3 linked regions of the Neurospora crassa OR74A genome follow. The protein of the gene in region 3 interacts with the protein of the main gene of each other region in a pairwise test. Links are inferred from orthologs where the notes say so. Each region holds a gene or a part of one and is shown on either strand. Other genes may lie near its edges.

Region 1 (3,748 bases), on a different chromosome or scaffold from region 3:
GTTTCAATGGCTTCGTCTGGCCTTTTTTTGCGAAACGAGATGATCACGCGCTGTTTTTACCGGGGTGGGTAAAATCATGAGACCGTCTCGCCTTTACGGGAAACCGGGCCTCCGCAAATTGATGGGGAACACGGGTTTTGCAAACAGTAATCTCTTTGCCTCTTTATTTCACGTCAGATGAGGGAAGACCAAAATGGCCATCATGTGGGACGATGGTTATGTGACAGGATGACGGCCGCGCACACGGGAAAGATACCTCTACAAAGATACCACTTTGAGTTTTTGCACGCACGAAAGTTTGTTCCGACCTTTTTTTGTTGTTGTTGTTTCCGTTTTAGTATTACTATATCCTTGCGTTTCTTGGTTCGTATCTATCTGTCTTACGTCCTTTCCGTTTTTATGTCTATCGTATATCAAATACCACCTAGCGTTTTGGCTTTTGAAGCGGAAGTCTTATCCCTTGGATCCGTCTGTCCTGACTGACATGGCACGATCAAAATTGCTTCCGCTCCTAGTTGTTCTATGATTGTCATGCGGGTTGACAGAGCGAGAGTCCGCAGGAGGGCTTATATGGAACAGAGTAAGAGAAGGAGTAGGTGCGAAGCTTTAAAGTCATTTGGTGGATGAAAGATTACGTTTTGGTAAACGTCCTGGGTGGTGGGATGAGATGTGAAGAAGAGAGTTGGTGGCAGACAAGGAAATAACAAAAGAAACAAAAGAGAATCTCTAGATACCCAGCGAAATGAGGTAGTTTGGCGTTGCAATTCAAACAGTTTTCACGTCTTGGTCAAGGCTATAGCAGTGGTCTGTTTGTGTGAAGATGTGGTTTTTGTATGTCCATCCACTCACTGTACTCAGGGGCACAGATGGAAGCGACTGGAGCTCAAGGGAAGCCAACGAACTCTCGATCAAATCAGATCAGAAAAGGGGTCAATGATAAGATCAACCGTTGGGTAAACAAGACAAACAAACAAACAAGCTGCCCAGCCCTGTCTTGCGCTGCCCTACCAGGCAAAGCCTAGAGGTACTGGTAGAGGTGTAGATCTTCCATCCTTGGTTCCAATTCCCGTGGCTGTCTGCCCTGGCCACCTCTATGTCATTGAATTGCTGTAGTGTAATGGCGGCTCCAGTCGGGGAATTGGGGGTAGGTAGGTAGCCTGCACTGTGGGGTGCTGCTGTTAAGGCACCCGCTGTGGTCGCGGGGCGCAGGCGCTAAAGCGCGTTAAGGCGCCCAATGAATGGCGAGGGCGTCCCCCTGATGCCGCGGGAATCATCACTGGTGAATTGACTCAGATATCGGCCTGTAGGGTGGTCAAGTTAGCATGGACTGCCCTAGGGGACCTGATGCCCCATGGAACCCCCCCCCCCACTGACAATGGAACCTGGAACCAAGGAACTCAACGAACTCAAGCGTGCTGAAGAACCCGCTTGGCCCACGGACAGGCACCTCGTCCGGCCATCCATTCATCACTTTTGATCGACAACCGAACCGCGTTCTCCCTTCCACCGTCCGTGACGCCGCCCCCGGGTTGCTTCGAATGATACTACAGACCAGACACCTTGACGGAAGAAAAGCCGCAACTCTGGCCGCCGAAACAAGCACCAATACCACCACCACCACCACCACCACCACCACCACCACCACCGCCGCCGCCTCTCGGTCATCCGTCGTTGAGCTCGTCCAGGTCCGAGAGCCTTCAGTGGCCTGCTCCGTTGCTCCCCTGCCGTATCACGTCACCGATGTCTACCATTGCTGATGGGGATTGCCGCTACCGATTTCTCAACCCTTAGCATATCCACCAGTGCATGCCACTGCTCTGTGTTCATACCATTGATTCTCATCGCCCAGTATGGATCGCCAAAGACGGCGTGAGTTTGCAGTCCTTCCTCTCTTCCCGCTTTTCTGTTCACTTGGGGCTGTAACTTGGCTCTTTGGCTTTTGTTGGGCTAACAATTCGTAGGTGAGCTGCGGGCGCTGAACTCGAGGGCTTGGAACGGCGAGAAAGGTACGATTTACGAGCTTCTATTGCGCCCCCCCGATAACCAGTCGGCCCATTGCTCACGCTCTTCACTTCCAACAGATCTCTTTCCCGTCAGCAAGTCCCTCGACTCTACCCTAAAGAAAAACACTGCTTTTATCAAGCGTCTCCGAACCACCATCTCCGCCGCCACCCAGAGCACCTTCCTCCAGGAGATCCGCACCGTCAGCCTCTCCAAATACCTTTCCGAAATCATCTCAGCATGCTACGAGGGCCTCTGCAAGCTCAAGTCTCCCGGAGACATCGAGGCCGGCGTCGAGATCGTCAGCGCCCTGCACCAGCGATTCGGACCCGCCGACTTTACCGAACACTTGGGCTGGCTTCTGGGCAAGGGCATGGCCACTCCTGATAAGAGTTTCCTCAAGACCCTTACCCCCGAGGCGAGAGAGAAGGAAGAAAAAGACCGCTTGGTTCGACAGCGCGTTCTCCTCCGCGTCGTGACCGAGCTCTGGCTTGTTGATGTTCTGCGGACCCTGGACGATATTGCTCGCCCCGACGACGCTACGAGACCGACCACGGGAGCCAGAGCCGAGCCGAAGCCGCGGTCTTCTTCCGGCAAGGGAGGCGGTGCCGAGCCCTTTCCACTCGAAGTTCTGAAGGATCTCTTGAATCACGATCGAGACCACGCCAACCTCCCCTTGCTCGTCATCTTTGTCAAGGCTTTCAGTTGGGATATCTTGGGCATCAAGGCTGCGGGCCAAGATGGTCGTAAAACCGTGGAGGAGGATGGCGCTACCAAGGGCGCCGAGGAGACCGAAGGCGACGGATCCGAAGACAAGGAGGAAGGTGCCGGCGCGGATCAGGACGGTCCCTTTGCCCCTCCTGAGTTGCAGGAGCGCTTCAAGAATATCCTCAAGCGCTACTTTGAGGACGTCAAGGGCCACCTTGTTCGGGACCAAAAGGCTATCTACAACCAATCGCGCAAGAATGCGGAGGCCTATGTCAAGTCGGGAGAGGTCTTTGAGGATCGCCAGTCAAACTTTGAGAAGCAGGTCAAGGCCCAAGAACGTCTCGTGGCCAATGCGCAGGTTATTGCCGATATCATTGGCGCGGAGATGCCCGAGTTGAAGGATACTGATGAGGGCAACGCCGCGAACGGCACAATCGGCCTGGTCAAGGCTGGTGAGTACCTCCGTGGACAGGGTGAGGGGCCCGGAATCTGGGAGGACGAGGAAGAGCGTCGCTTCTACGAAAACTTGGTTGATCTGAAGGGCAAGGTCCCTGGCATTCTGCTTGAAGAAGTTAAGAAGAAGAAAGCAGATGACGAACAGGTGGGCAGGAAGATTGACCCTGTTGAAGCCGCGGAAGCTGCCAAGGCGGCCGAGGCTGCTGCCGCCGATGACCAGTCTATTGCTATTGCGAACAAGACAATTGGCGCTCAGGTTGACGCCCTGCTTGTGCGCCTTCCTGAGCTCATCAGCAAAGACGCCATTGACCAGATGGCTATCGACTTCTGCTTCCTCAATTCGAAGGCGTCTCGCAACCGGCTCATCAAGGCCTTGACCGATGTGCCCAAGGGACGTACCGATCTCCTCCCGAACTGGGCTAGGCTCGTTGCCACGCTTGGTCAATACATGCCCGATATCCCCAAGGGCCTCGTTGACTACCTCGACAATGAGTTCCGTAGTCTTCAGCGGCGCAAGGAAAAGGAGTTTCTTGGGCAGGTCAGGCTGAGCAACATTCGCTACCTGGCTGAGCTGACCAAATTT
Region 2 (3,748 bases), on a different chromosome or scaffold from region 3:
TTTCGCTGCCTTTATCAAATGCACAAACCTCAACTTGAACATGATATCGAGCACGTCTGACAGCGATGTGCAAGCCCAAGAGACTGGAGCCGGAGCCGGACTGAGACTCGGCAATGTTGTCACTCCGGATGCAGTTTCCAATGCCGGCAATGCAACCGATCGGGCGCCACCACCGCTCTCACCAGGAGACTATACAGTGTACAACCGACTAGACGAGCGAATGGACTACTTTGTCTGTGCTCATCCTTTCCTGCACTCTATTCCTCGATATCAGATTGAAGTACAATCACTGTCGCTCGGTGTGGAATACGCTCGACACAGCTTGTACCTGTGACAACGGTAGTCAAGGCACAGCAGCACTGACTGAGCGACAACCCATAGAATGCGGGCTCCGTCACTCGCTACCTAAAAGCTCACCAATCCATCAAAGACTTGCATGGTTTCCTTATAGCAAAGCAAATGCCTCAATTGAGAGCTGCCATCAAGGCCCATAATCGTCAACGTCGTCATCATTATCAGCAGCAGCATCAGCATCGTAAGCGAAACGGAAGAAGAGTATCAGGGGGGGCCAAAGGAGGACATGGAAGAAGCAGCGAACCATGATTTAATCCAGCAACACCGTACCATTCACTTGGGCATGGAGCAGTTCGAAAAGGACCTGAAGAATTGCAGGAGCAAAGAGAAAGCGTTTAGTCTGCTGGTGCTGGAGCGTTTGGATCAGGAGGTGGAGGAGTTGGGGCGGAGAGGAGAAGATGAGTAAGTTTTGGGAGTTTGGAGGGGACGGAGAGATTGCTGTTGTCCGAAAGAAACCAAGAGGGCAAGTCAGGGAAGGGGCTTGAAGGTCGTGAGTAGTGTAGTGATCGAAAAATGTTTCAGGACATGGAAGTGGTGGTTTGTGTTGAGAGAATGTGGCTGATGGTGGTGGACTAGACCAGGCGGTGGTGATGGATTTATTGCCACTCTTTGTGTACGCAGTAGTGTACATCCTGGTCGGCTGCGGAACGGACTGGAAGTTGCTGCTCCCAAAGTCTTCAGATGAGGTGGGAGATGGATGGCAATATGAGGCCTAAGTACGGCTGTATACACGTGTAGAAACATGCTAGCATCGAGCATGGACATGTATGTGAACAGGCAACTCCTATAGAATGTGGTCAAGATTACAGATTCTCTTTTCCGTTCCCTGACAGCTGAGGTGAGCGACGACGGATGATTGCCCAACAACCGCGACGCGCAGCAAAGACTGCCAAGCATAATCCGCCAGTGAAGCAAGAACGAGAACCCTTCTGGCAAAGCGGAGTCGGTGAACCAGGTGACGCCAATTCCCGCAAAGGTGGACTTCTGCCTGATTGATAAGGCCACACATGCCTTATCGGCGCTTTATCTGTGCTTATCTGTGCTTGTCAACAGTGAAAGAATGCAGGCCCGCCAAGTGTTGCCAGTCGGGTCCAGTTTTTTTTTTCTCTGGTGCCAGACCGCCCCTACATGGAAGTCTGGGGGACAGGTACGGCAATGCCCGGTCCCCTCAAATCCGCCTTCGCTGTAACGACTGCAGTGAACTGAAGGGAAGGGAAGAAAAAAAAAATATTTTTCTGGGGCACTTGCACGCAAGGGACGCGTTGCGCCTTCCGCCTCCAACAAAAAGAAAGACTTTTTCTTCCCGCTTGGAGGCGAGTCGGGTCTGGCACAGGATCCGCATCTCACATCCACTAGCACTGCACAGCGGAACCCACCAATCCTCCATCGACATCTCCCTTTGGTCAGGTTCTTTTCCCATACTAACCTTACGTGACGGGTCCTTGTCCAGTGCCCCCAGAGTTTTTTTCGTTTCGACTTCCGTCCAGAAAAACTTGCACTTCACCCTTCGCAGCAGCCCTTTTCTTCCTTCCTTCCACCCACCCTCCATCTCCAATATCCCTTCCCGCCTACTTCTTGCGATTCTGCAAGATTCTTCATCCGCGATCCTTCTTTAACCAGTCGGACTGCTTACTTGTAACCACTTCACGCGTGTCGTTTGGTTCTTGTCTCTAGACGTCTGTCTTTTCCGACGTCTTCTTTTCCCGACAATCGATACCCTTGCGCCTCTAGGCCTTGTTTGCTCGTCGTTTCGGTCTACCCTTCAGCAACCCCAATAACAACCGATCTTCAATTTTCAACCTTTTCTTAAACAACCAGCAAACATGTCCGGATCTTACGGCGGCGGCGGCTACGGTGGCCGCGGTGGCGGTGGTGGTGGATATTCTAACGGGTACGATCGCAATGGCGGCGGCTACTCTAACAACTACTCCTCACACGGGTATGATGTTTTAGCGCGAACCTGCTCATTTCCTCTCTCTCTCTCTCTCTCTCTCTCTCTCTCTCTCTCTCTCTCTCTCTCTCTCTCTCTCTCTCTCTTTGCATTTCAAGATCAAATTGCTAACATCTGGTTCAACAGTGGCTCGAATGGCTACGGAGGCGGCGGCGGAGGATATGGCGGCGGTGGTGGTGGCTACGGAGGCGGCGGCTACGGTGGTGGTGGCGGCGGTGATAGGATGTCTGCTCTCGGTGCTGGTCTGCAGAAGCAGAACTGGGACATGAGCGCTCTTCCCAAGTTCGAGAAGTCCTTCTACCAAGAGCATCCTAGCGTCGCCAACCGATCTCCTGCTGAGGTCGACAAGTTCCGCGCAGACCACTCCATTGCCGTCTTCGGTAACAACGTTCCCAAGCCTGTCGAGACCTTCGACGAGGCTGGTTTCCCTCGCTACGTTATGGACGAGGTCAAGGCTCAGGGTTTCCCTGCTCCTACTGCCATTCAGTCGCAGGGCTGGCCCATGGCCCTTTCTGGTCGCGATGTCGTCGGTATTGCCGAGACCGGTTCCGGAAAGACGCTCACCTACTGCCTTCCCGCCATCGTTCACATCAACGCTCAGCCTCTCCTCGCTCCCGGCGATGGCCCTATCGTCCTCATCCTCGCCCCTACCCGTGAGTTGGCTGTCCAGATTCAGCAAGAAATCTCCAAGTTCGGCAAGTCGTCCCGCATTCGCAACACCTGCGTCTACGGTGGTGTCCCCAAGGGTCCCCAGATTCGCGATCTTTCCAGGGGAGTCGAGGTCTGTATCGCCACCCCCGGCCGTTTGATCGATATGCTCGAGTCTGGCAAGACCAACCTCCGTCGTGTCACCTACCTTGTCCTCGATGAGGCTGATCGCATGTTGGACATGGGTTTCGAGCCCCAAATTCGCAAGATCATCGGCCAGATTCGCCCTGATCGTCAGACTCTCATGTGGTCTGCTACCTGGCCCAAGGAGGTCCGCAACTTGGCCGCCGACTTCTTGACCGACTTCATCCAGGTCAACATCGGTTCCATGGATTTGGCTGCCAACCACCGTATCACCCAGATCGTCGAGGTTGTTTCCGAGTCCGAGAAGCGTGATCGCATGATCAAGCATCTTGAGAAGATTATGGAGGGCCGCGAGAACCAGAACAAGATCCTCATCTTCACCGGCACCAAGCGTGTCGCCGACGACATCACCCGCTTCCTCCGCCAGGACGGCTGGCCCGCTCTTTCCATCCACGGCGACAAGCAACAGAACGAGCGTGACTGGGTTTTGGACCAGTTCAAGACTGGCAAGAGCCCTATCATGGTTGCCACCGACGTGGCTTCTCGTGGTATCGGTATGTATCCATCTTACCCCTCCGCCCTGCCCAAACCCCTCCCCCCTTCTTCTCTCCCCCATCTCAGGCGACTTCCAGCATACGTACGTGCTTGTGC
Region 3 (3,748 bases):
GGTGCCCATGGTGATCTTGAAGGGCTTCATCGTAAACCGGGGTCCAACCTCACTGAGCTCGACCGAGTCGTACGAGGTGCGGACATAGACGTGGTGCCTGACCTCAATCGTATCGTCGTTGTTGACAAATGTTATGACTCTGTTGCCGACGTTGGGTTTCTGTGTCGGCTCGCGGGGAGGGAAGAGGTGCTTGAGGATCTTGACCACTCGCTCACCGAGTTTGGTGCTGAAGCCCTCGAAAATTAGCCTGGGGTAGCTTTCGCTGACTGTGCCCTTTATCGACTTGGGAATATCGGCGCGGAGAACGACGTTGTGGAGGGAGACCATGAGCGTCGGGCCATGGGGCTATAGCAAGGATTAGAAAATGCGTTTTGCAAGTACAACAACATGCCTGGAGGGACAACGTACGAAATGGGAAATGGTCATGGCGGTAGGGACACCACGGTGCTCGTGTAGCAAAACAACATCCGTCAAGTTTTGCGCCTTGGCGGCGCCAACAAGGTCTTCCAAAACGAGGTTACCACGGTTCAGCCGAACACTGGTGGGTAGTAGGAGACGGATTTCCTTGCTGAACTGGCCGAGTCTGCTGGAGGGATCGCGACTTGTCGTAACCAAGATTCTGGGGTCAATGACACCCGACAACTCCGAGTATTCGTCGTCGATATCGATGGCGTCTCCGTTCACATCCCTCGAAACATCGTAGTCGAAGTCCTTTCGCAATTCCTTGTCCTTCGCAATCTCGGGGTCGAGTGGCTTGCCCGAGGCCAGGGCAGACCTCAGCTTGGCGCGCTTCTCTGCAACCTCGGCCTCCTTGAGCAGGAGGGCTCTTCGGTAAAGGTAGTCCCGCCTTTGGCGAGCTTGCTTTCTCTATTGCAGATGTTAGTCATGGACATTGAGAAACTTGGAGAAGATGACGAGTAGACAGGGACACTTACAATCATCTTGTTGTGTTGACACGCTTATCAGACGGTAATAAGTGATTCGGTGGAAGGGATCGCGCCGAGCTCTCAGAGTCGTGTTGTCGAAAGTGGTAGTAATGAGGTTGTCGATAAGAATTAAGGCTGCGAAGACTGGCAGAAATTCAGATGTTCCGGGTCGATACTAGTGGAGGGCGGAGTGGTTGGTGACGACAGGGGTGTTCACAGAGAAAAAAGTCGAAAAAAGTTACAATCGAATGGGACTAAGCGCGAGGTGCACGGATCTTTTCAGCTTGGCGGATACCTATTGGCTTAGGTCCCGTCGATTTGCGCCTGCCGGGAAAGAGATCGCGCCTGGGTCGCCCGGTTCAACGCCACCTTAGGTACCCTGGCTCCCTTCGCTGCAGCTTGTGCCGGTTTCCCAGTACCTACCTACCTACTTGCTGCCCGCTTTCTAGAATACAGGGCAGTTTCAGGCGCTATGACTGCCCGTGCTTCTCAAACAGCTGAGCCCAGAACTGGAGGCTGCTGATAGAAGGCCGTCGGATATCAAACAAGGGAACGACGAACCTCCAACCTGAACCGCAACCGTGACCCGTCCGCCAACACAAACTGAACGGAAGTCGGCCACCGGCAAAATTCCCCCAAGCAAACAACAACCGTGACCTTGAACGGCGGCAACCAAACCATTTGCTTCACAACACCAAGAACAACCTTAAGCGAGCCGATCAGTGGTCTCACTCTGCATCAGCACCTCGACGTTCTGGCAGTGTCGTCGTTTCGAAAGCCCCCGCGCGCAACACAGCCCGCTCGCCGATCCAATCCGTTATGCGATGATGTGACCTTTTAGACGACGTCCAAGCCCATAATCTACATCTTTCCATAGTCCCGCATTGCGACAACCCGCAATACGACAGCCACACCTTTTACCTTTCGACAAAACTTCCGGGTGTGAACTCTTCAAGGTACGCCGCTTGTTTGCGTGTCATGTTCATGTAAACACTGAAATACACATCCCTCCCCAACAGCCCGCTCAACAGCTACAGGCTGGACCGCGGCGTATACCAACAGTACCTTACTTATCTCGTTCCCCAACGATACCTGCCTGACCCTACGTTACTGTTGCGAATTTCCCTCCCAGACACTTACTGACCAGCTGCTGGTGCTCCAGAGTTTACCTCCGTCAACCCACTCGCCATCATGGCCAACATGGAGGTGTCCTTCACACACCTTGGAAACCACTTGGTTTCCGACTCTGCTGCTGCCATCAAGGCCGGTGGCTCCGACGAACTGTCCAATATCGATCCCGATGAGAACCTCCTCTACGGTGTCTACGGTGGACGTGGTCCCCGCGGCAATGGTAGACGCCGCCACGATGACGACGACAACGAGACCGAGGTCCTTGATGACGATGATGACGAGAGTTTGGCCAGCGTTCCAGTCGACGGCATGAAGAGCCTCAAGCTGGATGCCCCCGTGGAGGAGAAGGAACTGCCTCCCCACGCCTGTGCCTACTGTGGCATCCACTCGCCCTCTAGCGTCGTCAAGTGCCTTACCTGTAACAAGTGGTTCTGCAGCGCCAAAGGAAGCGCCTTCTCGTCCCATATCGTCAACCACCTTGTTCGCGCCCGTCACAAGGAAGTTCAACTTCACCCCGAGTCCTCCCTCGGCGATACCGTCCTCGAATGTTACAACTGCGGCACCAAGAATGTCTTCATCCTCGGTTTCATCCCTGCCAAGTCAGACACGGTTGTGGTCCTCCTCTGCCGCCAGCCGTGTGGTGCTAGTACGTCGACCAAGGATATGAGCTGGGATATATCCAGGTGGCAACCCTTGATCGAAGACAGGGCTTTCCTCAACTGGCTCGTCACCCCTCCCACGGATGCTGAGCAGCTTCGTGCTCGCCATCTCACGCCGCCCATGATTGCCAAGCTCGAGGAAATGTGGAAGGAGGCACCGAACGCGACTGTTGCCGACCTCGAAAAGACTGCCGGAGTCGATGATGATCCTCACCCGGTCTTGCTCAAGTACGACGACCCTTATCATTATCAGAACATCTTCGGCCCTCTCGTCAAGATGGAATCCGACTACGACAAAAAGCTGAAGGAGGCCCAGTCTGAGGATGGCCTTCAAGTCCGCTGGCATCTGGGTCTCAATAGTAAACACGTCGCCAGCTTCATCCTTCCCAAGATCGAGTCCGGTGACGTTAAGCTGGCCGTTGGCGATGAGATGCGTCTCAAGTACAAGGGAGAGCTGCGCCCGCCTTGGGAGGGTGTTGGATATGTTATCAAGATTCCCAACAACCAGTCCGACGAGGTTGAGGTGGAACTTCGCAAGTCAGCCAATGACAAGTCTGTCCCCACGGAATGCACACACAATTTCTCGGCCGACTATGTGTGGAAAGCGACTTCCTATGACCGCATGCAGCTGGCCATGAAGACCTTTGCCGTCGACGAGATGAGTGTTTCTGGTTACATCTTCCACAAGCTGCTGGGACACGAAGTCCAGGTTGCCCCGACAAAGATTACGATGCCCAAGAAGTTCCACGTTCCCGGTCTCCCTGAGCTCAATGCCAGCCAAATTGCCGCCATCAAGCAGGTCTTGTCCAACCCTCTGAGCCTTATCCAGGGTCCTCCGGGAACTGGCAAGACCGTCACTTCGGCCACCATCATCTACCATCTTGCCAAGATGAGCAACAGCCAAGTTCTTGTTTGCGCCCCATCCAACGTTGCTGTGGACCAGCTCTGTGAGAGGATCCACAGAACCGGCCTGAAGGTCGTTCGCTTGACCGCCAAGTCCCGTGAGGATGTCGAGTCCTCCGTCAGTTTCCT

The links.
Region 1: the proteins of prd-6 (region 3) and NCU05267 interact in a two-hybrid assay, tested with the Saccharomyces cerevisiae proteins (8 studies listed by BioGRID, with this or other methods). The link is inferred for Neurospora crassa OR74A from reciprocal best matches to the Saccharomyces cerevisiae genes NAM7 and NMD2.
Region 2: the proteins of prd-6 (region 3) and NCU07839 interact in a two-hybrid assay, tested with the Saccharomyces cerevisiae proteins (2 studies listed by BioGRID). The link is inferred for Neurospora crassa OR74A from reciprocal best matches to the Saccharomyces cerevisiae genes NAM7 and DBP2.

Annotation. Positions count from the first base shown.
Region 1 is NC_026504.1:5,535,253-5,539,000, reverse strand, and holds the start of NCU05267 (nonsense-mediated mRNA decay factor), read left to right. Parts: upstream 1-1,493; 5' UTR 1,494-1,850; coding exon 1,851-1,869; intron 1,870-1,961; coding exon 1,962-2,006; intron 2,007-2,081; coding exon 2,082-3,748. UniProt on the Saccharomyces cerevisiae protein: Involved in nonsense-mediated decay of mRNAs containing premature stop codons. It interacts, via its C-terminus, with NAM7/UPF1.
Region 2 is NC_026503.1:1,035,996-1,039,743, forward strand, and holds the start of NCU07839 (ATP-dependent RNA helicase dbp-2), read left to right. Parts: upstream 1-1,473; 5' UTR 1,474-2,177; coding exon 2,178-2,293; intron 2,294-2,431; coding exon 2,432-3,651; intron 3,652-3,748. Other genes in the region: NCU07838 (hypothetical protein), read left to right, coding at 581-756, 1,093-1,144. UniProt on the Saccharomyces cerevisiae protein: ATP-dependent RNA helicase involved nonsense-mediated mRNA decay and ribosome biogenesis through rRNA processing. Associates directly with chromatin, correlating with transcriptional activity.
Region 3 is NC_026505.1:5,330,435-5,334,182, reverse strand, and holds the start of prd-6 (ATP-dependent helicase NAM7), read left to right. Parts: upstream 1-1,362; 5' UTR 1,363-1,882; intron 1,883-2,088; 5' UTR 2,089-2,117; coding exon 2,118-3,748. Other genes in the region: NCU04243 (U3 small nucleolar ribonucleoprotein IMP4), read right to left, coding at 1-345, 409-867, 936-941. UniProt on the Saccharomyces cerevisiae protein: RNA-dependent helicase required for nonsense-mediated decay (NMD) of aberrant mRNAs containing premature stop codons and modulates the expression level of normal mRNAs. Also capable of unwinding double-stranded DNA and translocating on single-stranded DNA.